Elephas maximus indicus: one gene and its partners. The protein of the gene in region 4 interacts with the protein of the main gene of each other region in a pairwise test. Links are inferred from orthologs where the notes say so. Each region holds a gene or a part of one and is shown on either strand. Other genes may lie near its edges. The genes, in order: PGAP6, CGGBP1, EXOSC5 and REL.

Evidence for each region.
Region 1: the proteins of REL (region 4) and PGAP6 interact in binary tests that used the Homo sapiens proteins (3 or more experiments, as listed by UniProt). The two-hybrid records come from large-scale screens. The link is inferred for Elephas maximus indicus from reciprocal best matches to the Homo sapiens genes REL and PGAP6.
Region 2: the proteins of REL (region 4) and CGGBP1 interact in binary tests that used the Homo sapiens proteins (3 or more experiments, as listed by UniProt). The link is inferred for Elephas maximus indicus from reciprocal best matches to the Homo sapiens genes REL and CGGBP1.
Region 3: the proteins of REL (region 4) and EXOSC5 interact in binary tests that used the Homo sapiens proteins (3 or more experiments, as listed by UniProt). The two-hybrid records come from large-scale screens. The link is inferred for Elephas maximus indicus from reciprocal best matches to the Homo sapiens genes REL and EXOSC5.

What each region holds. Positions count from the first base shown.
Region 1 is NC_064830.1:57,666,473-57,673,725, forward strand, and holds the start of PGAP6 (post-GPI attachment to proteins factor 6), read right to left. Parts: upstream 3,004-7,253; 5' UTR 2,913-3,003; coding exon 2,467-2,912; intron 2,374-2,466; coding exon 2,166-2,373; intron 2,088-2,165; coding exon 1,957-2,087; intron 1,768-1,956; coding exon 1,499-1,767; intron 1,423-1,498; coding exon 1,127-1,422; intron 807-1,126; coding exon 716-806; intron 637-715; coding exon 513-636; intron 244-512; coding exon 107-243; intron 1-106. UniProt on the Homo sapiens protein: Involved in the lipid remodeling steps of GPI-anchor maturation. Lipid remodeling steps consist in the generation of 2 saturated fatty chains at the sn-2 position of GPI-anchor proteins (GPI-AP).
Region 2 is NC_064836.1:60,696,635-60,703,867, forward strand, and holds the start of CGGBP1 (CGG triplet repeat-binding protein 1), read right to left. Parts: upstream 3,017-7,233; 5' UTR 2,409-3,016; intron 2,253-2,408; 5' UTR 2,049-2,252; intron 1-2,048. Other genes in the region: ZNF654 (zinc finger protein 654), read left to right, coding at 3,329-3,517. UniProt on the Homo sapiens protein: Binds to nonmethylated 5'-d(CGG)(n)-3' trinucleotide repeats in the FMR1 promoter. May play a role in regulating FMR1 promoter.
Region 3 is NC_064829.1:109,789,893-109,797,630, reverse strand, and holds the start of EXOSC5 (exosome complex component RRP46), read right to left. Parts: upstream 3,010-7,738; 5' UTR 2,915-3,009; coding exon 2,767-2,914; intron 1-2,766. Other genes in the region: BCKDHA (2-oxoisovalerate dehydrogenase subunit alpha, mitochondrial), read left to right, coding at 3,349-3,516. UniProt on the Homo sapiens protein: Non-catalytic component of the RNA exosome complex which has 3'->5' exoribonuclease activity and participates in a multitude of cellular RNA processing and degradation events.
Region 4 is NC_064844.1:1,354,754-1,362,367, forward strand, and holds the start of REL (proto-oncogene c-Rel), read right to left. Parts: upstream 3,019-7,614; 5' UTR 2,681-3,018; coding exon 2,671-2,680; intron 1-2,670. UniProt on the Homo sapiens protein: Proto-oncogene that may play a role in differentiation and lymphopoiesis.

The DNA of each region.
Region 1 (7,253 bases), on a different chromosome or scaffold from region 4:
GCTGCTCTCCTCCTGGGGTGCCACACTGTGCCTGTGCCAGTGGCCGTGAGCAGAGGTGGGGGGCTGGGAGGACGCCTACCCCCCCATGCCTTCAGCTAGCCCTTACCAGCTTTGCAGCTGCAGCCTGCATACAGGTAGCCGTGTCTGCGGAGCAGAAGGCACTGGCCGTAGGGTCCACAGTCGTTCACACAGGGCACCAGGTACAGGGTCATCTCTACATGTACCTTGTCCTGCTCACACTCCCTGTGGGGGGACACACAGGAAGGCAGGCGGCTACCTGTCAGTGTTCCTGCAGACCCATGGACCCCCGAACCCAGAAAAAAGCCCCACGCCCATCCCTGGTCTGACAGTCTGGAGCCGTAAGCTCTGCCTCCCCTCTCCCCACGAGGCCCAGGAATCCCTCCAGGGCTCCATGCTGGTCCTGGGGCTGCTTCAGGAATGACCAAAGGGCAGGCAGGTGGCCAGCCCCAGTGACGTGGCAGTACTCCCCCCCAGGCCCCAGGTTCACTCACTTGGGGTTCTTGGGACACATGAGCTGCAGGGATAGGTACCAGTTTTCTGTCTCTGGGAAGGGGACTATGAGGTTGGCCTGCCGGGATGTGGCGCTCAGGGTCAGCGGGTGGCCCTGGAAGAAGGCTGGGGGAGGAAGGCCTGGTCGGCGGAGCAGGCCAGAGTACTCGGCCTGGAACCACTTGCCGCCCACCAGCCCACACACCTGTGGTACAGTTGTGCGAAGTATTAAAGCTGAGGAAAGGGGAGGCGGCATTCACGCAGGCCACCACCAAAGTGCTGTTCTTGACCATGGTCTGGAGGAAGGTGGTCAGAGTTGGCCCAGGCCCAGAGCGACCCAGAAAGGCAGCGCTGACGTCCACCTGAGGCCACTAGTGTCTGCCTGGGATACCTGCCTGGAGCCTGCCTCTCAGATTTCAGCCCACCCCACTGCCCCAACTCCTCAGGTGTAGCCCGTCCCTCCAGCAGACCCCCATCTGGCCCAACACCTGGCTGGTGTCACCTGGTTGCCAGAACCCTGTCTCTGTGGATAAAATCAGCTTGAGGCAACATTACCCCAGCCAGAGCCCCTGTGGGCCCAAGTCATCCACAGACCAGCCCTGGGGAGTAGGGGTACCTTGTTAGCCCGCAGTGAGATGGTGAGGGAGCCTCCGCTGTCCATGCCCGTGTTAAGGTACAGCTGCAGCACAGAGGGCACGTCGGGCCACACAACCACAGAGACCCTGTCCAGAGGCCGGAAGCGCACAGACACCACATCCATGTCTTCCCGCAGCACAGGGTAGCTCATGAGGCAGCAGGAGTCACTTGCTCCGCCACTATGGTTGGGGTCCTGGGGGCCATTGGAGACATTATGGCTCTGGTTGGGGCTGCCCTGTAGGTGGTGCTGGGTGCTCACAGTCCACGGCCTGCAGGCTGCCAGAGGACAGGGTCAGCTAAAGATGCAGCCAGGGAGAACCACCCCTGCCTGCCCGCCACCCATGCAGCCCACCTGTGAGGGTGGCCACGGCATTGAAGGCCACCATGACGTGGGGCCCCACCAGGCTCTCAGCTGTCACCTGCAGCCACCGGTCCCAGGGTGGGGAGTGCAGCAGCAGGCGGCAGGGCAAGGGGTGGCCAGTGCAGCTGAGCACCCTCCGGAAATCACTAGGCAAGGTGACCGAGCCCACGGCCAGGCGCACAGGGCAGGCCTGGCTCCCGTTGGAAGCACAGTCCTGCAGCTCAAGCAGCAGCTCTTGTGTGAACTCAGGGATGAAGACCCTGCAGGAGGATGGGTGGCTCTGGAGCTCCCCCCAGGGGGTGGAGGGTAAACAGGCAGGGCGATGTCAGGGGCCAGACGTCTGCCCACTCTCACTCCCAGAGAGATTACTGGCCAAGGCGGTGCCACCCTCTCCCCCATCTGCAAGGGTTCAAACATCCCCACACCTGCCTCCCCAGCCCCTGGCTCACTTGAGGTAGCTGGAGCGTGAAAGAAAGAGGGTCTGTGGTAGGGGCATGTCAGGCTCCAGCACAGAGATTTCAGCTGCCCGCAGGACCAGCATGTCTGGCTGGAAGATGTAGGCACAGGAGGGGACGAAGCCCTGGACAGAGAGTCAGGTTGAGAGGCAGGAGGGCTGGTTGCCCATTCGGCAGCCAGAGCAGGGGAAATGGTCCCTCACCTTCACCTGGATCTTCTCGGGAGAGGGGGGCAGGTGGGCAGCCACAAACCAGTCCCCAGATGCTGGATGGGAGACGTTGACAGAGGCGTTGCTCTGTAGCATCGCACTCAGCAGCATTCGCACTTGGAAGGAGGGTGGCACTGAGGTGTTGTCAGGGAAGCTGGTGTTCAGGGGATTGATGACTGGAGGAGCGCCATAGCGGAAGTGTCTAGGGTGGGACAGCAAGGTGTCAGGGTGCAACCTGGCCAGCTTGGGGTGTGGGCTGGCTGTTGGGGCACAGGCAGGGCAGAGAGGTGCATACACAGTGATCTCCACATCTGAGCACAAGGGGCCACTGCCCCGGGACACTTGCAGCAGCCAGCGCAGCAGGACAGTGGCTGGAGGCACCCGGAAGCGGAAGAGCCTGGCGCTGCCGTACCAGCTGTAGAAGGAGAGCTGCTGCGGGGTCTGTGAGAAGAGCTCAGACACGAGCCACACATCTGCAGGGACATGTGCTGCATCAGCCCGAAGGCGAAGATGACGTTGGCAAGATCTCTGCAGCCCTCTGGCCCCTGGCACTGTCTCTGGCTGGCAGAAGCCCAAGATGTTAAGTGTCCCCTCAAGCCCCCCATCCCTGCGCAAAGTCTGCAGATCCAAAAGCAATGCTCCACCTGGGGAGCAGCGTACCTTGTTGGCCCACATGGCCCCCTTCACAGCCTCAGACTCAGAACATCTCAGCTCTCTCTGCCTCTTGCTCCAGGTGCTCATCTCCCTCTCCCTTCATCTCATACCCATGTCACAACTTCCAGAACAACCACCTGCAGCCCTCCCAGCACCCACCCCTTAAAAGCAGGGGTAACCTCAGAGACCCTGGCTCCCAGTCCGCCCCAAGCCCTGCTCCCTCCCTGCATGCCAGCCCCTGGCTCATGTTAAAGAATGTGGCATGGTCATGGTGAGTCCTGTCCCTCCTTTCATCTGCCCTGGGCAATGGGCTCCAGGAACTCCCCCCCCAGAACAGGCACTTCCTGGGCACTCTCTGTACTCGGTGGGGGTGGGGTGGGGTGGGGGGAGGCGGTAGCCAGTCAGGCCTAGGATCTGGCTCTATGCCTCATGCCCAAGTGACCTTGGGCCGTGCCCTCCCCTCTCTGGGCCACCTGAGGTGAACGGCACCTCCCTCCAGCGCGCCTCCCTTCAAGGCTAAAGAGCTTAGGGCAGAAGCAGGAAGAAGTACTGTGGACGCAGCAGGGTGCGACGGCTCTCCTTTAAGCTGGGTGCCCCCGGCCCATGGCTGCCAGGTAGCCTCCTTCTGTCCACAGGGGAGCTGCAGGCTCAGGACCCTCCAGGGGAGCACGTGAGGGAGCCAGACGACAGCCAGTTCTCTTGCCAGCCTCATGACCACTCCCTCCCCCCAGTGGAGGAACTGGAGAAAAGACAACAACAGCCAGTGCCAGCTCAAGGAGCCCACCAGGGGGGCCGCCAAAGCCACAGGCCCTGCCCACCAGGGTCCCACACATCAGGCCGGGCACCTGGGCACTCCTGAGGCCACTGCTGCCCCCGTGATGACATGATGGCACAGCTAGAACCTAAAGTGCTGTGGTTGGGGCAGACCTCCTCCACCCTAGACCCCAGGACCTCTGGGGGGCTGAAACTTGGCTGCCTTCCATCCCCCAGGTGGAGGGGACAGGAGCTTCAGGAACAAGGCCTCAGGCCACTTCAGCTTGGAATACTGTGGCCTCCTAGCCTGACCAGCCTCAGAGTATACCTGGTGCTCAGCTGAGAGCTCTAGCTGGTACACCAGAGATGGGCTCCAGGACTCCTAAGCCTAGCCCCCATTCCCAGTGTATAACATGGCCTCCCCTGGCTTTCCAGCCGAGATGCCCACAGTTATCTTGGTGAGCATGCCAAGTAGTTACTGAATGTGGAGGTCACAACTCTGACCCCAGGGAAGATGAGGGGGACCATCCTGCCCCACCTACACTGGCCTCCAAGGACACAGGTTGAGGGCTGGAGGGAGCAAGGAAGAAAGTCTTAAGCCGTTCCTGGGATGCAGAGTGAGGGGAGCCCCAAACCAGGGCAGTCTGCTGGGAAAACCTCCCAACCACAGACCCCAAAAACATGGCACCTGGGCAGGCAGAGGCGGAAGGGGCTGAGGGGCTCAGTCCTCTGGGAAACCTTTCATTTCAAGCTGTACCAAGCTCAGCACCAGAAGACACAACCTCAGAAGAAACAGGAGCTCAAAGGAGCAAGATTTCAGAGAAGGCAGGGGAGGAGCCAGGACCCAGAAAGTTGGGGCCCTAAGCAGAGAGGCCCTGGCCATGTTGTATGCTGGGAATAGGGGCTGGGCTTGGTGGGCTTGGGAGTCCTCTAGCAGGTTTCTTACCTCTGGTGTACCTGCTGGAACTCTCAGACTGGCCTCCCTGGAGCTGCCTCTGCCCCCACCGGCTCCCATCTGGGTCCATCCAGCCTTGGGGCAGGAGGCAGGTACTCATCATCCCATAGGTCCAGGGAGATCCTGCCCCATGCAGAACTCTGAGGGAATGGCACCCCCCTCCAGCCACCTCCTTGGGCCTCAGTGTGGGTGAACTCACTCGGGGACAGAAATGCCAGGCACCCAACAAGTTCCCAACCTACTCTCCGGACCTACCCTGGCCCACGGTGTTCCTTGGACAGGGCCGCCCAGAGTCCAGCAGGGCCTCCAGAGAAAGTAACTAGGGTCGCAGTCGCCCTGAGTCCGGGATGGACCTGAGCTCTTCACTCTTTAGCTCCTGCTCTGGGGTCTAACTGAGCAACTTTCTCCCATCTCCGCCCCACTCCCGGGCCAGGTGGGCTCTGGAAGCCGACTGCCTGGTTCCTTCCCGAGCGGGTCTCCAGCTGAGTCCCAAGCTGAGTCCTCTGGTCCCCTGCACCTCGGTGCCGGGCGCCTACCCCCAGGAGGAGGGCGGGAGGGCATGTTCGGAGCGGTTCGTCGGCCCAGCCGGGCTCTGGGGACTCAGGGTGCTCGCTGAGCGTCCTTTCCACCGCGACCGCTTGGACGCGGGGTGCCCCAGCCAGGGTGGGAAGCTCGGCCCTGCGCAGCGCCGGCGAGCGCACAGGTACCTCCAGGTGAGTCACAATCCCGGCCCCACCCCGCCCGCGCCTCTGAGATGGCGCTCCCCGCCTGCCCCGTAGCTCACCGCTCCTCCGGCTGTCGCCCGCGCCGGCGGGCGGGGGCCGAGCGAGCAGGAGCAGCAGCAGCAGGAACGGCCCCGCTACTGCGGCCGCCGCGCCCCCGGCCCCGGTGCCAGCCCGGCCCATGGTTCCGTGCTCCGCCGGGGCTACCTGGACAGCGTTCCCGGCCGCCCGCCCCCGCCGCCGCCCGGGCAGCCGCTGCCGCCACGGCGGCTACAGCCACCGCCTCCGCCGCCGCCTCGGGCTCTGCTCCGGGCTCCCATGGTCCCGGCGGGTCCCGCCGCGAGCGCCCCGGGTACTTCCGCCTGCGAAGCCCCGCCCCACAGGCAGCCCGGTCCGAGGCGGGCGAGGGGCAGGGGGGAGGCAGGCGGGGAGGCCGGGGACATGGGGGGCCGGCGGAGAGCGCGCGCAGAGGTGGGGGTGCGCCGGGCGGGAGGGTAGCGTGTAGGGAAGCGGGTCAGAGGGTGGCGCGGGTAGAGGGCGGACAATGACCCGGCGCGCGGTTTGGGTAGCAGGGAGGGATGGGAAGGAGGGTCACGCAGTGCGCGCGAAGGAGGTAGAACAGAGGGGGCCGCTTGGGACGTGGGACTGAGGGGGGTATGGAGCGGGAATTGGAACGCACTGGAGATGCGAGAGGAGAAGCACCCCAAACGCTTCCTTCGGGCGCTGCGAGTCCACCGGGCAGAAGGGTCTGTGAGTTCGCGTGCACCCCGGCATAAGGACGGCGGAGTAGGATGTGGCGGTCTCGTGGAGGCCCGTGGAGGAACGGCAGCCTCTACCCGGGACCCGACGGAGTTGCCCCCACCCTTCAGCGGAGTTCTGCTCCGCCCTCGTAGACCGGGTTTTAGACTTCCAGAGCTGGACTACCCAGGGCTGGCCTCCCGCGCCCTTCAACCACAAATCCTCTAGGCGTGTGTTCGAAACGCACACCTGTATGGGAAGATGAAAGAGATGTATGCACCTGTGGGAACTTAGTACACATCAGTGAGTGGGACTAACACCCGTACACCAGGGTAGATTGCAAATTGCTTAAAGATTTAAGCAAAAAGAAACGATAAGTCAGGATAAAACTTGGGGAAACTTTTTCAGCCTTGGGGAAGAGAAAGCCTTTCTAAGTATGACACAGAATCCTGAAGACATCAGAGGCAAGACTTAGAAATTCAACCTTGTGGGAATCAAAACTTTCTGCAGAGCAAAACTAGCATTAAAAAAAAAAAAAAAACAGTGCCATCGAGTCGATTCCGAGTCATGGCGACCCTATAGGATAAGCAAAGTAGAAACACAAGCCCTAAACTGGGGGGTGGAGGATGACAAGCTTGTGACTCTTACCACAAACGGCTAATTTTAATAAAATTAAAAAATGAAGATCTTAATAATAAAGCAGTCCTACAAATCAATAGAAAAATACCAACACTCCAAAATAAATAAATAATTAAAGGTTACAGTTACAGAGTTCCGGAAAAGGATATGCAAATGTTAGACAGGAAGGTGTTCAGCCTCGCATCTTAAAACCAGTGCCATTGAGTAGATTCCGACTCAGAGTAACCCGCCCATCTTAGAAAAATGCAAATCACAACAAATTGAGGTGCCTTTTTATTACCTTACAAATCGATGGTAGACCAAAGAGTGATCACACTGTATAGGCCCACAGATGTTATAGTGGGGATGTGGTTAGGATGAACCTCATGGAAGCCTCTGACACATCTACCCAAACAACCCAATACTGGTAACACAAATACCAAAATAACCCAGGCTGTGTGAGCCCACACCCATGCATTCTCCCTGCGGATGCATTCACGGATTGTCTGACACAGCAACATCACTGCAGTGGGGAGGAAACACGCAAGTGCTGGCCGTTAGACAACTGGGCATTTGCGTCATGAGTTTCCATCCCATGAGATAAACACCATGATAGAACGTGGCTGCAAATGGGAAAAAACA
Region 2 (7,233 bases), on a different chromosome or scaffold from region 4:
TAAAGTTACTATTAAAATAACAATTAGGCCCATTTCTTGGTTTTTATGAAATTCAAATCAATTAGAATGAATAAAAAACTGAAACTGTCCCAGATACTACTATCTTTTAGGAAAACCCAATCATGGATCAACAGTTGGGGTGTTTACTAATCTTATCCAAGTTTAAAAAAGCTTCTTTCCCTTCATAACCCTATGACAACTGATTTCAGGAATAAAATTGTGGGGAATTGTGTACGAAGTTTGTTTAAACAGGTGGGCCACTAAACTGGCGTAATTCTATATGAACAGAATTTTCAAAACTGCTGTGATGACAAAAAAGTAAAAACTAAGAAACACAGACCAAATGGATTTAAATTTTAAAGCAAAGATAAAGTTCTGAGTAAGTTATTTTTTAATGCATTTATACCTCTCCTAAGTTTTCTAAAAGATTATAATCAAGATATGGAAAGTGTTTTTCTAATACTTCGTGTGTTTCTTTAATATTAACAATTACATGGCATTAATATTTACTTCACTTATTAACTAGTAAGTTAAAAGAAAAAAATCAAGAACTTAACCTAGCACCTACCATATGATAGATGCTCAATCAAAAAATGCTGATGGAAAAATCTTCACTATCCAAATTTTTATTTAACTCAGATGCAGCTTAATAATGTCTGAGTAGGTTCTAGCAGCAAACTTTTATGTTCATAGAACTAAGTGCCAAAATCATGTTACAAGCACTGAAAACTTGAGCTAATAAACACATGTTAGTCTGTGCCAAGTACTCAAAATCATTACTTACATCTTAGTAGTTACCTGGGGCCATGACTTCAGGCTAAGCACTTATAAATATTTACGTTAATCTAGGTTTAAGAAATTAAAATACATTTGATAGAACTAAAAATGGAATTCTGTTCTGTATAAACATACTTCCAATGTATGCTCTGAAAAACCACGCTTCTTAAGTCTAATCAGAAACAATGTAAACCAAAAACCAAACTCAGTGCCATTGAGTCGATTCCGACTCATAGCGACCCTATAGGACAGGGTAGAACTGCCCCATAGAGTTTCCAAGGAGTGCCTGGCAGATTCGAACTGCTGACCCTTTGGATGGCAGCCATAGCACTTAACCACTACGCCACCAGAGTTTCCAGAAACAATGTAGTACTCTGTGAATCCACAGTAGAGAGCAGCTAGCAAAGCCTGAACCTAACCAGCGGTGGCAGGAAGGCAAGGCCTGGTGATCTATAAGAATTACAGCCAGGACAAGCCTATGGAGCACTTCTCCTTTGTAACACCCGGGGTCGCCGTGGGTTGGAACGGACTGGACCACAACAGGTTTGTTTATAACATAAAATCTTTCTCAAAAGAACTTTAAGTTGCTAACACTTGTGGATACAAAGAATCCAGGGAATAACTCAATATTTCACAGAAATTCTGGCAAGCATGATAAATTCTAACATGTAAATACCCTGGGTTATGTTCTTTTCTTTTTTTTACTTTAGATTTTTTTCATACATGGATTTTATGTGTGGAACAATGTGATAGGCCATGGCTTTACAATGGCAGGCAAAACAAGTATGATTCTTGCATAGTAGTCAGTGAATTACTATTACACATATTTGTACTTTTACAGTATGTTTTATACTCCTACGGTGAGTCAATCCTAAATATGATTAATGGTTCTAATCTACTTACGCAAAACATCAAATACTTCTGTCCAGGGATAATTAAATCTTACTTTCTACATGAAAAATCTTCTGCCTCTAAATATTTAGCTTTTAAACTGTGAAACAATCAACAGGCACATAATTCCTTAATGTGTAAAATGCTCAATCCCATGTGCTAATGTGAAAGTTCTATACAATGTCTTTTAACTTCCAAAAGGTCAGAGAATGCACGGGTTTACATACTCAAAGAACAAAAGTGTTTTCAGCAAAAGATATATATATTTTTAAACAAACAAGGCCGTTAAAAAGTTAAGAGCAAGAATTAGACAACAAAAGAGAAGAAGCCAATCCTTCGCTGGATCAAAATAAAACTCATCGGAACTTGAAAATGTTTACCGGATTAGTTTCCAGTTGTTTACGTCCTGATACTTAGTAGTGAACGGTCTCCAAGCAAAACCAGAGGCGCATCAATCCCTGGCACCTTACGTTGGTTCAAACCCGGAGATGCCTCCAAATCAGTTTTTCAACAAGTGGTGATGGGGAAACAGTTTCTGGGCTTGCACCCTATTTTCCCTGCGGTACCGGAAAGTCATGCCTTTACTGTAAAATACGAAAAACAAATGGAAAGAAAAAATGGGGGAAGGGCAGGGGGAAGGAAAGAAAGGTGGATGAAAAGATGACCAGGAACGTCAACAACTACCAGGCAGGTGTCTCTAAAAACAACTCCCCACCACAAACCCCGATCCCAACGCTTACCCCACAACCCCGATCCCCAGGTCCCTCCAGCATCCTCTCGCGCTCCCCAGGCCCTGGGGTTCGAGCGGGGGAGGGAAAGGCGGGGCTCGAGACGTTCCCGAGCGTCTGACTCCCTCCTCCCGAGTCGAACCCAGCACGCCGGCGCCCCGCCGCCCCGGCCCCGCTAGCTGGGCAGGGCCGAGTCCCAGCTGCCCCAGGCCCGGGAACTCGACAGGAGTTGGCCGTAGTCTCACGGGAGGAGGCGGCAGGCGCCAGGCGGAGGCGGCCGCTGTCAGGCTTCCCGTCTCCTCCCTCTTCCTCCCGCCGACAACGGTGCCACGGCCCCGCCCCCAGCTCCCGCTTCGGGACGGAAGGCCCGGGGCCCACAGCCCGCACCAACGGCCGGGCCCACCCTCGGTCTCCCCAGCTCCTTGGTACCGTAGGATCGGGGCTGCCGCTAGGGGAAGTGGACGAGACACAGCCGGAAAGGAAAGGAGGAAGATAAGGAGCAAAGGGATGAGGAAGGAGGAGAACTAGTAGCTGCCGCCGTCGCCGCCGCCGTTGCCCGATCGAGCCCCGCCGCGGCCGCCGTGTCCCCCGCCGCGCCCCGTCCTCCTGCGCCGCCTATGGCAGAGCCCGGTAGGCGGGCCCCAGCAACCGCCGAGCGGTATTGACCAACGGACAGCGTCCCTATCAAACAGGCGGCTGACTTGACCAATGGTAGTGGAAAGGCGGGCATAAACATGACTGACTGCATATTTTACCAATGAAAGCTGGGGGCGTGGGTGGGCGGAGCCGGAAGTAGAGCCCAGCCGTGGGGCCCCTGTCCGGCGGAGGGGGGAGAGAAGGGGGAGGGAACTAGAGGAGGAGGAGGAGGTTAGCCAAGGCAGCTACAGCGGCGGCGGCGCAGGGGCTGGTACGCGCTGGGCGGCGAGAGCCTCATGGCGGAGGAAGAGAGCGACCAAGAGGCCGAACGCCTCGGAGAAGAGCTCGTGGCCATTGTGGAGTCCCCGCCGGGGCCTGAGAGGCTTAGAGCTGCGGGTGACGGCGGAGGCGGCGCTGGCGGCGGCAGCTGCGGCGGCGGCGGCGTCGGAATCAGCAGTCGGGATTACTGCCGACGCTTCTGTCAGGTGAGGCGCCCGTCGGCCGCCCCGTCTCGTCACCCCCGGCCAGGGCCTCCCTGCGTCTCCTGGCCATCTCGCCCCCTAGCCTGGGCTCTGTCCGGTGCTAGTTCTTCCAGCCCACGAGGAGGGTGAGGACGACGCTCCCCCCTCCACCTATCCGGCTTGGGGTGGGGGGTGGGGGAGCGGGACCGTGGTGACCTGCGGGCTTAGGGTTGTCGAGAAGTGAGGGTTTGTCAGAGGCGCTGGAGAGAGGGCGGCAGGGTCAGCTGGCAGGAAAGCTCTGTACTGACATGCCTCCTATGCCCCAGACAGACCCCTTCCTGCCCGAGGGTCCCGCCTTTCTTGTGTTTCCTACGCTGTTTTCCTCACCTCATTTGGACCCTCTGTGACATTTCCTGCTTTCCCTTCTCTGCCGCTTTCCCCAGGATTTTCCCCTTTTTCTGGGATGGAAGGCATGCCCTCTCTCTACTGCCCCCTCTCCTGTCACCGCCTCCCCTCCCCCTCTCCTAGGGTCTCCTGTCATCCCCTCTCAAGATCCCGTTGGGCCACTTCTTCGGTTGGCTTCAGTGTTGACCCACAGTGACTTGGTTACTTTTTGGGGCTGGAGGAGGGGTGGGTTAAGGCTGTGTGATTGTCATCTTTTCTTACTCGCTTCCTCCCACTTCCCCTAAACACTCACTCTCTCTCCTAATTAACTGCTCTGCAAGAAAGTCGTTTTCCTTAGACTATTGCTCTAGTTACATACCCTTGTCTTTCACGTTACAGTGTATTTTAGCCTTTGAAATACAGTGTTCGAACGATGACGGTACAATTTTTTTTTTCTTTATTCTGTCGACTGTCGATTTGATATAGCTTAAAGTATTTAAATGTAGTAAAATATTACAGCGCCAGAGTACTTATCTAGGGTAAAATTTGTGTAATCTGCATTTAAATCAGCATGTATTTATAATTTAAACGTTTTGTTCTCATACACAATACTCTTGTTTTGCAAAAGAATCGTTTCTTTCCCACCCTCCCCCCTTTGTTTATCATACGTATATTTTTTTATAGGGTTCAGACCCTGGCTTCACCACTTCCTAGCTTTGTGACCTTGGACAAGTTACTTAAACTCTCTATGCCTCAGTTTTCTCTTTTCATCTGGTAGGGATAGTAGGTAAATGAGTTTGAATCAGTTAGCTATTAATTTCATTCTGATAACAAGCAGGACTTAAAGTTAAGAAGAAATGGACATCATGTTCACTGACACTGGATTTTATGCCCTTTCCAGCATTTATAAAATAGCCTTATTTGTTCTTAAACTGCCTTTCAGGAAACAGTATAAGAGTAGTTAAAAGGATGGAGTTGACATTTTCAGTTAAGTTTTTAATGCTTTAGTTTAAATTGTCTCTTGATTTCATTTTTCTTTTGACCAGTGTCACAGTTAAGTTGGTTTGTAGGTGGAAACTGTTTGGTATGAAGTGTGTGTCCTTTTTCATTGATGCTGCCTTGTATTTGGTGACTTTCTTGAAAATGTATTTTATTTTTGGTATTGATATTCACTGGATTTAAAGGTTCATTGTTTGTTGAGCACTTGCTTTCTAACTATAGGTTTCACAACTACCAGTATGAGTTGCCTTGAAATCAGTTCTGACTCATGGCTTTCCCCAAACCATGCTATCAGTAGACTCAGTATCTACAGGCAATTTAAACTTCTGAAAATTAGGTTACATTTTTATCTTTTTCATATATTGACTGGTAGAAACTCTGTTTTTTTCTGTTTTGGTTTTTGTATTATAAATGAGCAGCTTGGTTTTTGGTTACATTTAGCTTTGTTAGTTTACTTGATCAGATGGTTATCTATATATTTAGTGAACTGTTACTTACCTAAGTGCGTATTCTCCATTTTATGATTATTCACAATTAAGTCGTTTATGGTTAACTGCTGTAGAATTTGAGGTTTTATTTGAGGGTCAAGTTTACTTGGAGAATTTTTACTACTCTAATTCTATTTTTTGAAATAAACATTAAGAACAAATAAGATTGACTATAAAATTCCACTACTTCCTAAATATCCAAGGACATAAAAGTAAACAGAACTGAAAGACTTTTCATTTTATATTGCTAAATTATGAGTGTTACACTGACAAACTTCCATGTTACCAACTTTTACCTGAAACCTTATGATGTCTAGGTTATCAATAGATCTGTCTCAGGGTTCCTGTCCTAGCACCATCTTGTATGTAAGCTTTGTGAAGCCCTTTTCTGTATTAAAACTTGTAGATGGAAAAAAAAGATTACCTTCATCAGTTGAATTTTGTCCACTGATTAATAAAATTCTAGTATAGTTATTCTTATAGGAGCCCTGGTGGCGCAGTCATCGAAGCTCTCGGCTGCTAACCGAAAGGTCAGCGATTGGAACCCACCAGCTGTTCCTTGGGGAAGGGTGTAGCAGTCTACTTCCATAAAGATTTCAGCCTTGGAAACCGTATGAGACAGTTCAGCTCTGTCCTATATGGTCACTAGGAGTTGGAATTGACTTGAAGACAATAGATTATAAAATTCTCAGTTTTATTTGACAATAAGGTTAGCAGTAGATTATAATGTAATTTCCAGTTAAAGATTGCTTCTTTTTAAACATTTGTGTCTTAATATTTATTGAGGGTAATATGAAGCAAGTTGCATTCATTAGTAAAATGACTTAATTGTGTAATCCTGAAATGGTTAATATGCACTTAGGTAGGTGACAGTTAACTAAAGATATGGATTATACAACTAGCCTTGAGTTGAGAAGAAAGGCTCCAGTTTGTCTTCCCTCTTTAGAGGGAAATATGAATCAAAATTTCTTGGCAGTTGTGTAGGTGAAGGAAGAGAGGAAGGAACAGTTCTTTTCAAGAGAAGTTCTTGTGTCTTTTACTACAAGGAAAAATAAAGCAGAAGACGAAAGAAAGATAGATAATATAAATGATACATTATACACACATCCAATGCATTCGATGATATACTTCTCTATTTGAGAAACATTACCAGTAATTGTAAAATCTCAGGTAAAAGGAGTAGTTCCCTAGGCTTAAATGATTTTTGAGACGATAGATGTAGGAGATTGAAAGTGTTGATTTCCGAATAGTTAAATGCTGTTGGTAATGTTGGACTGGCCGCCCTTATCACATTCTCCCTTGGCTGTTGTTAGTAGACTCTCAAAAAATGTTTCAGTAGAATTAGCCCCTGATATTTCATTATGCTTTGAGGATGAAAAGATGGGAAAAATAGTTTATCGAGAGTTTACTAACTCTTAATGTCATTTAGGTAGGCCAGAACAAATTTAAGTTGTCTAAATTCTGTTAGGTGACAAAGCCCTTTAGGTAGGCCAGAACAAATTTAAGTTGTCTAAATTCTGTTAGGTGAACAAGCTGGGATTTGAACTCATCCTTCAGTTTCTGTTGAAAGCCAGACTGAGATTACAAATAAATCCTCAAGTAATTATAAACTGAATTAATTACTTGGCAAGGTGGTGCAAAGGGAATAAATTTACTGGAAGTACTCAGGGAGTCATGGAGGAAACAATATAAAAAGTACTCTTTCATTATTCCAGAGTTGTAAAAAATATTTCAAGAAACAGATAATTATTGTCTCTCTGACTTGTAAGGTGTTGTGAAGATTTTCTTGAGTCCTGAAGGTTGTAATAATTTAACTTATTTTGTTGCTATATAAGTATATTGAAAAAATTTTTTATAATGGGTTGATTG
Region 3 (7,738 bases), on a different chromosome or scaffold from region 4:
GGATCCAGGAAATCTACTCCAAGGGGAGCCATGAAGGTGTTTGTTAGGGGAGTAGGCTAGATCCTCGGGGAAGGTCTTCATGCCCGTTACTCTGGATATCCTGCCTGTGCCCCCCTGCACCTTCTTACGCAGCTCCTAAAAATCCACTGCTGTCACGCTGATTCCAACTCACTGCGACCCTACAGGACAGAGGAGAACCTCCCCACAGGGTTTTCAAGGCTGTAAATCTTCCACATCTTTCTCCCGCAGAGCAACTGGTAGGTTCGAACCGCCAACCTTTTGGTTGGCAGCCAAGTGGTTTAACCACCATGCCCCCCAGGGCTCCCTCAAGCAACCCAGCTCCTGCGATTCTCTCCTCCTTCCACCGCACATTCAACTTTCACCAAAAAAAAAAAAAAAAACCCAAACAAACCAGATGCTGTGGAGTTGGTCCTGACTCATGGCAAGTAGAACTGTGCTCCACAGGGTTTTCAGTGGCTGATTTTGGGGAAGCAGGTCACCAGGCCTTTCTTCTGAGGCACCTCTGGGTGGACTCAAAAGTCTAACCTTTCGGTTAGCAGCTGAGAGCGTGAATGATTTGTGTTACCCGGGGACTCCCATCTTCAACCACAGCCCCATTTATCTGATGCTCTTACAGTAAAACTCCCCAAGACTTGCCTTCACTCCCTGTCTCTTCCTCCTCTTCTCCTTGACCGAATAACAAAGCTTTGGACCCCATCCTTCCACTAAAGCAGTCCTTGGCAGAGTCACCTTCCCGAACCTCCAAACTGCCAAACCCATAGGTCTCCTGTGCTCGCGTGGCCCAGCCTCTCAGTAGGACCAACAAGGCTGTCTACCGTTACTTCTCAAACACGTTCTTCTCTTGGCTCCAGGTCCGCCCCCTCTCCGGGTTTTTCTCCTACCTCACAGGCTGCTCCTTCTCAGTCTCTTTTGCTAATTCCTCACATGTCCATGAACTCTCAAAGCTGAAGACCAGGGCTTAGTCCAGGACCTCTTCCCATTTCTATCTCTACTCATTTCAGGAGTGATTCATCCAATCGATTGCTTTAAACACCATCTACAGCCAGAGGATTCCAAAGCGTATATGCCCAACTTGGCTCTCTCCTCTGAATTCCAGAATTGTATCAACAACTGCCCATTGCACATTTCCACTCTGATGTTTAATACCAAAACCCCCAAACCAGTCGAGTTGATTTCAACTCATGGCGAGCCCAGGCGGGTCAGGGTAGAACTGTGCTCCATAGGGTTTACAGTGGCTGACTTTTCAGAAGCAGAAAACCAGGCCTTTCTTCTGAGTGCCTCTGGGTGGACTTGAACCCCAACTTTTCAGTTAGTAGCACAGCATTTAACCGTTTGCTCCACCCAGGGACTCCTGGTATTGCAAACATAACGTTCCAGACTGAACTTATCTTCTGTTGTCACAGCTGATCTGGAGAAAAGCCCAAAGCTTGACTAGAACAGTGGCTTTCAAACCTCCCTGATTCTTTTTCTAGTATCTCCAAACCAAATCATCTGCAAATACTGTTGGTTTTTACCTTCAAAATGCATCTAGGCTCTCACTGCTTCCACCCTGGTCTGAGCCATCACCACCTCCTCCCTACTATGCTCCCTCCAGTCAACAGAGCAAGCAGCTAGAGTGATACTGTTCATATATTCAGACCATGGCACTCCTTCACTCAAAGCCTCCAATGGCTCCCATCTCACTCTCTAGACCTTATATCATCAGCAATTCTCCTTACCACCCTCTGACCCCCTCTCCCACTAACTCCTCTCCACTTGCTGCTCCAGCCACATTGGCCTCCTGACTGTTCCTCAAACAAGGTCTTGTCTCAGGGCCTTTGTCCTTGCTGTTCCCCATGCCTGGTATACTCTTCCTCCTGAGATCTTCAGGTTTGTTCCCTTGCCTCCTTCAGGTCTTTATTCAAATGTCACCTCCTCAGTGAGGCCTTCTCTGACCATCCTATTTAAGATTCTAGTCCTCTGCAGCACACTCTATTCCCCTTCCCTACTTTATTTTTATAGCATTTTACTATATGTTTTACTTATTATTCTTATTTATTGTTTGTCTCCCCCACTAGAATGTAAACCCTATGAGAGCAGGGATTTTTTTTTTTTTAATCAGTTTTGGTCAGGGAGTCAGGCCTAACTTAAGAAGTATTTAGCTCAAGGAAAAAAATATTCGTCCAATAACTATAACTCGCCCCAATCTTTACTCATATGCAGATATGTGTATCCCAGTCAAAGGGGTGTTGACACAATTGGTGGAGCTGGGATGAAGGAGATCTTTCTTAACCCAGCAGTAATTATTAGGATAAAAGGCTGCCACAGCTACGGTCTAGCTCGTGGTGGTGATCTGCCAGTCTATGGGGTATTTATACAGATGGGAGGTTTGCCTCAGCCTGGAATATATGGACCCGGGCTGTGTGTGGGGTGAGGAAGGACGAATCTATTACAGGGAGTTACTTACCCCATGAGAAAGTTTTCCCTATTTTGGAGTATTCATTCTTATGGGGAGGACTGCCCTTCCCTCATCCTGCAAAGTATTTACGAGGGTGGAGATACCTTCCCACTTCTAGTCGGGAGGGAGAGATCTATCCCGGCCTAACCAGTATCCACGCGGGAGACACAATACAAGGGAGACACTTACCAGCTAGTATCGTGGGGAAAAGGGACTCCTCGTTGCACGGTACACTGTAGCCGTCCCCCGCCAAAAACAAACACCGCATGCGCGAACTCTTCCCGGGCAGTATTGACCTGGGTTCTTACCTTGCAGGAAAGAGGCTGAGCCATCCGGCCTGGACAGCAGATTTTGTTCGCAGGCAAAGTGTCGGAGGCTGCAGCCGGGGCCCCCGGGGCCAGCCTCAGCCCCAGGCTCAGTACGGATCTGGGTGTCTACCTGCATCGCCCCCTCCATCACTTGGGATTCCACGTGCAGTCCGCCACTGTAGCTTCCGCCCAGCCATGCGCGCCTGCGTACAAGCTACCCATCCAGTACGCACGCGCCCATCTCCCGGCGCTGCGTCTGGCGGCTGCACGTGGCTCAGCGTTTACCAACACTCTGGCCCCGCCCACCCCCGCCTCTCAACTCCAGGGAAGCCATTGGACAGCGGAGAAGGGGCGGAGCCTGGCATGGTCGCTTTCTTCCCGAGGCCCCCGGGCCCTGAAACCCTGAGGCTATGATTAGGTAGCCCTCTTCTTTGCCTGTTACGGAAGCAACAGCAGTAAGGCGGTCGGAGACTTTTTTAGGAAGCTGTATTGTTTTGTAAACTCATCTCTGCGTCCTAGCGTCGCCAGAAGCGGAAGCAGGTGGTTTCTTGGCAGGGTGGTGCAGGCAGCAGAGTCAGGCTCATGAAGTGGCAGCCCCTGACCCGAGGCGATAGGAGAGCCAAGGAGCAGCTGTTAGCCAAGATGGCGGTGGCGGTAGCTGCGACGAGGTTTTGGGGGCCAAGTCGAGGCCTGGGCAGGGCCGGCCTACTGCTTCTGAGGCGACTTGGGGCTCGGGGAGTGGCCTGCTCTGTGAGTACCTGGGGCCCCCGAGGAGTTTTCTCTAAGTGGGAACAGGCATATAGACGCTGTCTTCATTCAGAATGTGAGGTGCTTGCAGAGAGTGAAGAAAGGACAGTCAGGGAAAGGACAAGGGCTGGGAAAACCACGTGGAGAGGACACTCAAGGAAAGAACCTCCACTTCCTTGGGCGAAGAAAAGCGAGGCAGCCCCTTCGTGGGTTCTGAGGGAGGAGAACTCCTTATGAGTTGTGCCCCACCCCCAGCGCGTCTGCTTGGAAGGATGGGGGAAGGCGAGACAGTTCCCCTCAAAGGTTGGGGAATGAAACTGCCTTAGTAAGGAAAGGTCTTTCTTTTGGGTAAAGAATTCCCTTTATAAAAGAGGAAGGAGAGACCAGATCCCCCTGTCATGGGCTTTTATAAAGCAAAACCAAACCCGTTGCCATCGAGTTGTTTCCGACTCATAGCGACCCTACAGGACAGAGTAGAACTGCCCCATAGGGTTTCCAAGGGTGTAATCTTTACAGAAGCAGATGCCATATCTTTCTCCTGCGGAGCGGCTGGTAGGTTTGCACCGCTGACACCCTTTTGGGTCGCAGTCGAGCGCTTTGATCACTGCGCTACCAGGGCTCCTTTGGGCTTTTATAAAACCAAAAAGCCCAAATCCATTGCCTTCGAGTAGGTTCCTACTCATAGCGACCCTTTTTGTTGCATTTGCCACAATTCTCATATGAAAATGAATCGTGTGAAAAAGTCGTTTTAATTCTTTTCTCCCCTGATCAAATGTCGAGATAGGGACCTTGTCTGTTCTAGTCAGTGCACAGAGGGGATGCTCAGTAAATATTTGTTGAGTTAATGAGGAGGATAGAAGAGAGGGATCTGAACAGTGCACTTTGCCCACATTTCTTACAGACACTGGAGAAATGCTTTGTTCTTTGTCAAAAGGGTCAGGATTTTTTTTTTTAATTTTTATTGTGCTTTAAGTGGAAGTTTACAAATCAAGTCAATCTCTCATACAAAAATTTACTTACATTTTGCTATGTACTCCTGGTTGCTCTCCTCCTAAAGAGACAGCACACCTTCCCTCCACTCTCTATTTCTGTGTCCATTTAGCCAGCTTCTGTCCCCCTCTGCCTTCTCATCTCCCCTACAGACAGGAGCTGCCCACATAGTCTCATCTGTCTACTTGATCCAAGAAACTCACTCCTCATGAGTATCATTTTTTATCTTATAGTCTAGTCCAATCCCTGTCTGAAGAGTTGGCTTTGGGAACGGTTCTTGTCTTGGGGTGACAGAAGGTCCAGGGACCATGACCTCTGGGGTCCTTCTAGTCTCAGTGAGACCATTAAGTCTGGTGTTTTTAGGAGAATTTGAGGTCTGCATCCCACTACTCTCCTGCTCCCTTGGGGTTCTCTGTTGAGTTCCCTGTCAGGGCAGTCATCGCCTGTAGCCGGGCACCATCTAGTTTTTCTGGTCTCAGGCTGGTATAGTCTCTGGTTTATGTGGCCCTTTCTGTCTCTTGGGCTCATAATTACCTTGTGTGTTTGGTGTTCTTCATTCTCCTTTGCTCCAGGTGGGTTGAGACCAATTGAAGCATCTTAGATGGCTGCTTGCTAGCGTTTAAGACCCCAGACGCCACTCTCCAAAGTGGGATGCAGAATGTTTTCTTAATAGATTTTATTATGCCAGTTGACCTAGATGTCTCCTGAAACCATGGTCCCCTGCTACACTGGCCTTCGAAGCGTTTGGTTTATTCGGGAAACTTCTTAAGGGTCAGAATTTCTTAGGGTGGGTGCTAAGGGTAAGCTCATGCTGCAGAAATCTAGTTTAGAGGAGAGAGACAGTGGGCTTCAGAAGAGCTTTGAACTAAAATTCCACAAATAAGAGAGTAGTAGGTAAGAGGGTAGGTCCTGGAGCCAGACCACATGGGTTCATAGCCCTGCTCTGCCACTTTCCAGCTGTGTGGCCTTGGGCCCGGTACTGCACCTCTCTGGACCTTAGTTTCTCCCCCTGTAAAGGGGTGATACTAAGAGTGGCCACTTCATGGGGCTGCTTTGAAGATTAGATGTGTAAAGTGCTAAGAACTGGGCCTAGCTTATGATAAAAGCAGTAGGAATCTTGGCTGCTGTTGAAAGTAAGGGTGGAGGGGAGGGACAGAAACCGACTTTGGAGATGGAGGGAAAGAAGGAGGTGACTTTGGGAGGGTCTGGACAGGCAAGGACCCTGGGGAGAAATCTATCTAGATGTTGAGAGGTTGGGTCTGACCCTCTGATTCCCTATCTGTAATGAAAGGAAGAGGGAATCTGTAGGAAGAAGCTCTGGATAGGGGGAGAAACGGGAGGTAGGGGGAGAAACGGGAGGTAGGGGAAGAGGATTGGCTGGGGGAGAGGCATGGGTGTTGGGAAGGGAGCCACCTGAAGCAGGTAAAAGTGAAAAGGTTGCTGTTGCAGGATCCAGAGTGAGGCAATCTCTTGCCTTGGGCTCTTCTCTTCTGCTGATTTTAAACAATCACTTCTCCCACAGCCTGATCTCAGTCCCAGTAGCCCATTGGCTGGGCCAGGGAGGCTGGACATGGGCCAGATTGGGGCAAGAGTGGGGAAAGGTCACTTGTGACTGATTAACTCTGTTTTCCCTTCTGACTCAGTCTGTCTACTTTTCTTGCTCCTCGTTCATTGTGTGTGTGTGTCTTCCAGAGTCCTTGTTTTTTATTTCTATTTTTTTTAGATTCCTCACCCCTCCCACCTTTTAGTTTTTCTACCTGTTCTTAGATTAGTTTTTTGTTTTTTTTTTCAATTCAAGTGGAGTGAAGGGGCAGTAGCTTTTAGTGAAAAAGGATTTTGACCAGGGTTGTCCAGTAGAAATTGTGATAATGGAAATGTTTTGTATTTGTACTGTCACATGTGATTACTGAGCACTTGATGTGTGTCTGGTTCAACTGAGGAACTGGAGCTTTAATTTTAATGAGTTTAAATAGCCAGAAATGGCTAGTGGCTACTGTATTGAACAGTCCATTTTCAGCTGATTAAGGTGGAGCCAAGATGATAGCACCTTGGGGAAAGGTTGGGAGACAGGTTGGGTTATAGGGGCCAGTGGGGTTGGGTGGAGGGACGGGGATGCCTTATTTCCTCCCTACCTGCCTGCCCTTCTCCCAGTCTCCGTGGTATGCTATGTTGCCTTGGGGGTGTTTACCCGATTCCCACCTCCCTTCCCCTACCTGTTGATAGTAGCTGCTTCAGTGCTCAGGGAGAAGAGGAGGAAGGAAACTCACTTGTCAAGGAGTCAGGGGTCAGTTTCTGAGCCACTACCCCAGGCCCCTGATCAGGCCCAGGAAGCAGGTGGGACCTTGGCCAAGCCACTTCACCCCTCTGAGTCCAGCAAGTGGTATGACTGGAGTCATCCTGTCAAACTCAGGGAGCGCCTTGGTGTGTGCTCATTATCAGTAACTTTACGGGTATCTCTGCAATCTGCTGGTCAAGGGCAGCCTGTCCAGGGGCTTCAGCGCCCTGTGCAGTACCTCTAAGTGGTAGGTACCCAGTGTGTATTGTGGGATGAGTGGAACCGGTCATCACCGATCTAACCGTACGGGTCCATCTCCCTGTTGGCAGATCTCTTAAGGAACCCAGGCCCTTTGTCATGTCATGAAGTACTTTGTGATTGACAGTGCCAGTTCCCACCCACTATTGTATTTAATACAGCCGCACTTTAAGGGATGTTTTGGTGCTTGTTAGTTGCCATTGAGTCAGCTCTGACTCATGGTAACAGCACGTACAAGAGAACAAAATGTTGCCCGGTCTTGCTCCATCTTTGCACTTTTCGGTATGCTCGAGTCCATTGTTGTGGCCGCTGTGTATTTTAAGTGTCCTGCAACCTCGGGGATCACCCCCCAGCACTTTATTGGACAATATTCTGTTGTGATCTATAGGGTTTTCATTGGCCAATTTTTGGAAGTAGATTACCGGGCCTTTCGTCCTTGTCTGTCTTACTCTGGAAGCTCTGCTGAAACCTGTACACCATGGGTGACCCTGCTGGTATTTGAAATACCATCGCATAGCAGCATCAGCAACATGGGCACTGGATGTACTGGTAGTACCCTTCTGTTAAAGGTGAGGAGCCTGAGCTCAGAGAGGTGTGAACTTGGAGCTCTGGACGCCAAAGCCCAGTTCCTTGTCATGGTACCAGGCTGCCAGGAGGAGAAAGGATAGGGCTGAAGTTCAAGTCTTGCAACATCCTGCTTAG
Region 4 (7,614 bases):
CAGCAGTTTTCAAACAACTGGATTACATTTTAAAATAACATATTTTAAATAGTCCTATTTTAATCTAACTCGTGAGAAAATGTTAAAAAAAAAAAAAAAAGTAAGATAATCACTTTTCAACTTCCAAACCTCCAAAACTTTAAAAGTTTCCTCCCTCCAGTTTAGGGAATTCTTAGTCCTCATAACAGCAGAAGATATAATGTCATTAAACAAATTTAAATTCCATCACATTTTAAAATCATGTGGGTCTTAGAATGCTACTCTATAGAGAATTAATTTTTTTCTCTTGCAAGAGTTAGATCACAATATATTCATGCAGTAAATTAGTAAAGTTTGATTAAATCGACATCAGGCTGACCTTTTCCTTGTAATGCTTGTCATTCTTCACCACTTCCATAAAACATCTTTCTGATAACCAATAAATTAACCAAATATTTCAAAGTCATCTTTGTGCTTTTAATCTAAATGTGCTTTGAGTTTATGAACTTAGAACATTAACTGAAAGTTCGGGGTCACTGAAATGGGTAAAGGGAAAGTGGAGAGTTTTAAACCATATTTGTGTTCTCACAAGAAAACCACAAAGACAAACTGAAATCAAACGTCACATGAAACACCCCTATTTCCTTTTCAGCTTAGAGTAGTGGCTGCAGCACTGTTCTGCTCAACCCTTTAAAAAGATCCTTTAAGTTTTCTACTTCCTCTTCTGTTAAGTATCAGCCTGGACTTAGGGTCACGGAGCAGGGGGTTGGGAGGCGGGGTCAAGCGTAAACCAACGGGTCTCCAGTCCCCTGGCCTTGCACTGCAGACGCCCTCGCCCACCCCACAGCACCCCCCCATCCCGTTCCTGCACGGCAGACGCCCTCGCCCACCCCACAGCACCCCCCCCATCCCGTTCCTGCACGGCAGACGCCCTCGCCCACCCCACAGCACCCCCCCCATCCCGTTGCTGCACGGCAGACGCCCTCGCCCACCCCACAGACCCCCGGGCCCCGTTCCTGCACGGCAGACGCCCTCGCCCACCCCACAGCACCCCCCCATCCCGTTGCTGCACGGCAGACGCCCTCGCCCACCCCACAGACCCCTGGGCCCCGTTCCTGCACGGCAGATGCCCTCGCCCACCCCACAGCCCCCCGGACCCAGTTCCTGCACGGCAGACGCCCTCGCCCACCCCGCAGCCCCCCGGACCCCGTTCCTGCACGGCAGATGCCCTCGCCCACCCCACAGCCCCCCGGGCCCTGTTCCTGCACGGCAGACGCCCTCGCCCACCCCGCAGCCCCCCGGGCCCCGTTCCTGCACGGCAGACGCCCTCGCCCACCCCACAGCCCCCCCGATCCCGTTCCTGCACGGCAGACGCCCTCGCCCACCCCACAGCACCCCGGACCCCGTTCCTGCACGGCAGACGCCCTCGCCCACCCCACAGCCCCCCGGACCCCGTTCCTGCACTGCAGACGCCCTCGCCCACCCCACAGCCCCCCGGACCCCGTTCCTATACTGCAGACGCCCTCGCCCACCCCACAGCCCCCCGGGCCCCGTTCCTGCACTGCAGACGCCCTCGCCCACCCCACAGCCCCCCGGGCCCCGTTCCTGCACTGCAGACGCCCTCGCCCACCCCACAGCCCCACAAAGCTACCGGCAGGCGTCCACTCCCGAGAGGTGAGCCCTGCAGAAGCTGCAGGAGCTGGTCTGTCTCCAGCCGTCGCTTAAGGGCTTGGGGTCCGAACCCCCTTCCCTCCTGCCCCAGGGGAAAGCCGACCGGGAGGGGGGCACCCGGCTTCGCCCTCGGATGTGCTCTCGGGGCGCCTTTCCGCCGCGACACGGGGGTCACCTGGGGTGGAGGCACCTGGGGTGGGGTCACCTGGGTGGCAGCTCCCGGCGACACGGGGGTCACCTGGGGGTGGGGTCACCTGAGGGGCAGCTCCCGGCGACATGGGGGTCACCTGGGGTGGGGTCATCTGGGGGTCAGGTCACCTGGAGGGCAGCTCCCGGCGACACGGGGGTCACCTGGTGACACGGGGTGGGGTCACCCGAGGGGCAGCTCCCGGCTACACGGGGATCACCTGGGGGTGGGGTCACCTGGAGGTGAGGTCACCTGGGGGGCAGCTCCCTGCAACACAGGGGTCACCTGGGGTGGGGTCACCATGGGGTGGGGTCACCAGAGGGGCAGCTCCCTGCGACACAGGGGTCACCTGGGGTGGGGTCACCATGGGGTGGGGTCACCATGGGGTGGGGTCACCATGGGGTGGGGTCACCTGGTGACATGGGGGTGGGGTCACCCGAGGGGCAGCTCCCGGCGACACGGGGTCACCCCGCTGCTGCTCTGAGGCAGGAGCCACCATTTCACCACGAATCCCCCCGAGAACCCCCGTCTCCCTTCCGACCACCGCCGCCCCGATCCCAACACCAAGCCGCCGGCAACTCCTAAGGTTCCAGCTGCAACAATGGGACCCAACTACCGAGCGAGCTTGTCACTTCGCACGCAAATCCTCAAGCAAGTCACTTTTCAAAGGGCGGACGGTTTGCCGGCTGACGCGATTTTAAAGACTGAACGCGCCGCGGCCAAAGCCCGGCAGACCGAGAGCCCCCGAAACCCGGGTAGCAGCCCCGGGGCGACCTTTGCCCCCGACCCTGCCGCGGGGACCTCGGCCCTCGCTCCCCCCCGGGAACACTCACCGGAGGCCATGGTTCCGCTCACCGCGCCGCCCCGCAGGCAGCTCCAAGCGTCCGGGCCGGACGGCGCCGCGGCCAGGGAGCGCGTCAGTCAGTCAGCCGGTCGCGGCCCTCTGCCGCCGGGACCCCAGTTTCCCTGGCCACTCCCGGGCCCTCCTCCTCCTTCCCGCCCTCCTCGGCTCTGCGGCTCACACCTTCCCACCTCCTTAGCTCTCGCGCTCCGGTCAGCCGGCGTCGCCCGTCCAGGGTGCCGGAGCGCGGTGGGAGCCGAGCGCCCGCCCGCGGAGAGGCAGGCAGCCCGGCGGGAGGGGGATTTCCCGCCGCTGACGTAGGCCGCTCGCCACCGCGTCCTCCGGGGGCGGGGGGCGGGGCCTCCGGCGGCCCGCGCGCGTCCGCACGCCCCTGCGCCCCGTGCGCGCGCCCGCCCCCGCGCATGCGCCCCCGAAGGGCTGCGGGCCGGGGGAGCCGGGAGCGCAGGATCCTGGGGAGCGCAGGGGACGCCGGGAGGCGGAGGGGCCGGCCGCGCGCCGAGGCCGCGGGCCGCCGAGAAATCCCCCTCCTCCGGGTTGTTCTGCCGAGCGTGGTTTAAAGTTCACAGGCGGGTGGGAGGGAGCGGTGACGTCGGGAGGCCGGCCTGCCGGGGCGCTCGGGGCGGGCCGGCGGCTCGGGGGAGGTGGGCCTGGGGTTTTCGATCGGTGCTTCCCCCTTTTCCCGCTTTCGTACATGCAAATGGCCGCCCCCGGCCGGCGGTGAGGCGGCGCGTCCTGAGGCGCCGCTGAGGGGTGCGGCCGCGGCCGGCGCCTCTGTTCTCCGTGCGGGATCTTCGTTTGCGTGGGGCTCCCCCGCAGTGTGGCTTCCCCCTCTGTCTTTAAGCTGCGAGGGCACCGAGTTGACTTTACGAGTTTTACCCACGAAAACCTTTCGAGTCAGAGTCCTGCGCCGCGATTTCGTGCTCTGGGGAGCAGTTGCCCCGTCGTTACGTGTGGAAGTTGAGCGAAAAACGAGTCGCCGTTGGGTGGACCCCATATCCTGGGATTTAACGGAGAGGCCCAGCAGGAAGGGGAGATGGAAAACCATTCGGAGTTGAAGGAATCCAGTATAGCTTTGTGTCCCGCATTTGCTGAGAGCCTCCTCCGGGCCAGATAGTTTATCTCACCTGTGAAGTAGTAGTATCCTGGTTTTAGAGATGAGGTGCGGGGTTCAGAGAGTTAAGTAACTTGTCCAAAGGCCAGAATGCTGCTAGAAGGAAAAAGAATTTATACCTAAGGTAGTCTGAATCCAAACCTTCATGTTCTTTCCACGCTCTCCCCCCCCTTTTTTTTTTTAATTTTAAATTGTGTTTTAGGTGAAAGTGTACAGTGCAGATTAGTTTTCATTCAAAAAATTTATACGCCAGTTGTTTGGTGATGTTAATTGCAGTCCCCACAATGTGTCAGTACTCCCCCTCTTTCCACTCTGGGCTCTCCATGTCCATTCATCCAGTGTTCTGTTCCTTCCTGCCTTCTCCTCTTTGCTTTTGGGTAGGTGTTGCCCGTTTGGTCTCTATACTTGACTGAACTAAGAAACACATTCCTCACATGTGTTATTTGTTTTATAGGCCTGAAAGGTGGACTTCAGGAGTGGCTTCAGTTCTGAGTTAGTCCTCTCTCTCTTATTGCCTCAAATGTATGGAGTTGGAATAGAGAGTATCAGCCTAGAGTAAGTGTTCTAAATGGGAGGACCCTATTTGGAAAATTAAAACCTGCCAACCCCAGTATCCTCCTACAAAATAGAGAAGACTGTAGCACTTTTACTACTGAGTAAATATTAAATCACACTGTGACATGCATCATAGGCAATCTGCTGAAGAGACTGCAAAGACAAAAAGGTTTCACCCTTCTGTATAGCCAGACAGATAAAATCCATTACATACCTGTTAATTGTCTTATCCTAAATATTAAATCACACTGTGACGTACATCATAGGCAATCTGCTAAAGAGACTGCAAAGACAAAAAAAAACTTCACCCTTCTATATAGCCAGACAAATACAATCCATTACATACCTGTTAATTGTCTTATCCAAAAGGGGGAAAAAAAAGCAAACAAAACTTTTTCTATCGTTTCAGCAATAGGGAGTTACATCTTGGAGCCAACCCCTTTGGCTTAAACTCCTACAGAGACAGGAAGACTTGGTGCTATCCTCCTTTATGTTCCTATTTCAAAGAAATGCCTTCAAGGCCACCAAGAAAGACCTTCTTTGGATCAGAACTGGCCAAGAGGATTAAAAGGATTCACGTATTTCTCAAAGAGTTAGAGAAAGCATTTACAAATCAAATTTTCTAAAGAAGAGGGGGGCGAGGGGAAGGTCTCTGTTTTTTTTGGCACCAGGGAAGTTTTTTAATTAAAAGTTTTTCTTAGATTTTATTTATCCTCATAATCCCAAATGTCAGAGCTGTAAGGGCAGACTGAGCACAGATGTTTAAGAATCGATTAGAAGGGTGAGAGACAGATAGGAATGGAAAATACTTTGTGTTTTTTCATATTCCACCTGCAGGAATTGATTGGTTTTAGGTGTTCCTTGAACTTAATGGTATTGTTGGTTCCATAGATTCAGTAGTGACGGAGAAATTGATGATGATTGAGAGAAAGGGGGTTAATTACTTGAATGAGGAAGAGAGACAAGATGAAATCCAGGGCACAGGTGAAGGGCCACCAATTGGAATGGAGACTTTTCTTCTGTGGGTAAAAGAAGGAAGACAGAGTGGGTGGTTACAGATGCACAGAGCCCAGTATACTTGGTGGTACCAAGACGGGGTACTCAGTCAGATTGCCTTAAAAAAAAAATGAAGTATAAGGTGAAGGGCAGAAACTGAAAACATGGTCTCTGAGAGTGAAGTTTTAGAAGGTATACCTGGCTGTATTGAATCCCCATTTGAGATTTGTGGTCATAAATATCAGACCAGTCAGTTGTTAGGTGCTGTTGAGTCGGTTCTGACTCTTAGCGACCCTGTGCACAACAGAAGGAAACACTCCCCGATCCTGAGCCATCCTTAAAATCGTTGTTATGCTTGAGCTTATTGTTACAGCCACTGTGTCAATCCACCTCATTGAGGGTCTTCCTCTTTTCTGCTTACTCTGTACTTTGCCAAGCATGATGTCCTCCTCCAGGGACTGATCCCTGCTGACAACACGCCCGAAGTATGGAAGACGCAGTCTCACCATTGTTCTAAAGAGCATTCTGGTTGTACTTCTTCCGAGACAGATTTGTTTGTTCTTGTGGCAGCCCATGGTATATTCAATATTCTTTGCCAACACCACAATTCAAAGGCATCAATTCTTTGGATTTCCTTATTCATTGTCCAGCTTTCACATGCATAGGAGGCAATTGAAAACACCATGGCTTGGGTCAGGCGCACCTTAGTGTTTAAGGTCACATTTTTGCTTTTGAACCCTTTAAAGAAGTCCTTTGCAGAAGACCAGTCAGTACAATATTTCTTACATAGCCCAAGGAATAGCAATGAGCAATACTGTCTTGAAAAAGAAGACAAAAAGGTAGGAAAAGTTAGGTTGGATGGGAGGGAATATGTATAATACCTAAGCGTCTGAACCCGCACCTGTTCCCTAGGTGATCTCATCCATTCTCCTGATTTTACCCATGGACCCAGGACCATATATCCAGCCTGAACCTCTCCTTGGGCTTCAAACCCTTATATCCAGTTGTCTGCTAGACACATTCACTAGAAGTCCCGTAGGCATCCCAGCCTCAGCCTACCCAACATCTTCTCTCCTAAAGCTGCTCTTCCTCTCGTGTTTTCTGGGCTCAGAAACATAGGCTAAAACTTTGGAGCCGTCTCTGCCTCCTTTCGTTCTCACCACCCTCTCACCTACCCCATGATTTTACCAGTCAAAGAGGAACCCGTTCGCTCTCACTACTGTCACTGCCCTTGTTCAAATCATTCCTACCCCCATGACATCCAGTCACCAAATCCTGCTGATTTTCCCAGTCAAATAGGAAGCCATTCCTGTTGTCTCGTGACTGCCACTGCCCTTGTTCAAATCATCATACCCCACCTGAACTATTAGAATACTCACCTATTAACGTCTGTCTACATTTTTGCCCCCCCCCACAAAACCATTCAGACCTATTGTTGCTTGAGTCATCTGTATGAGCGCACTTCTGACCATATCACTCTCGTGCTTTAAAACCATCAGCAGCATCCCGATCCAAATACCAACAGCTTGCTTTAATGAGATGGAAAAACTAGACATTAACTTTATATGGAGAGGAAAGAGGCCCTGGAGCAATAAAGCATTATTGAGGAGGAACTACAAAGTAGGAGGCCTCGTACTGCCTGACCTCAGAACCTACTATACAGCTGTGGTAGTCAAAATAGCCTGGTACTGGTACAATGACAGACACATTGACCAAAGAACAGAATTGAGAACCCAGATGTAAATCCATCTACCTATAGTCACCTGATCTTTCACAAAGGCCCAAAGTCCATTAAATGGGGGAAAAGACAGTCTTTTTAACAAATGTACTGGCAAAACTGGATGTCCATCTGTGAAAAAAAAAAATGAAACAGGACTCATATCTCACATCATACACAAAAGCTAATTCAAAATGGGCCAAAGACATAAAACCAAAAACTATGAAGATGATAAAAAGAAAAATAGGGTCAGTGCCAGGGGCCCTAATATACATCATAAATGGAATACAAACCATAACTGACAATATACAAACACTGGAAGATAAGCTAGGTAACTGGGATTTTCTAAAAATTAAATGCTTATACTCATCAAAAGAGTAAAAAGAGAACCTACACACAAAAAAGTTTTGGCTATGACAAATCTGACAAAGGCCTAATCTCAAATATCTACAGGAAACTCCAACACCTCTACCACAATAGGCAAATAAATAATCCAGTTTAAAAATGGGCAAAGGATATGAACAGACACTTCACCA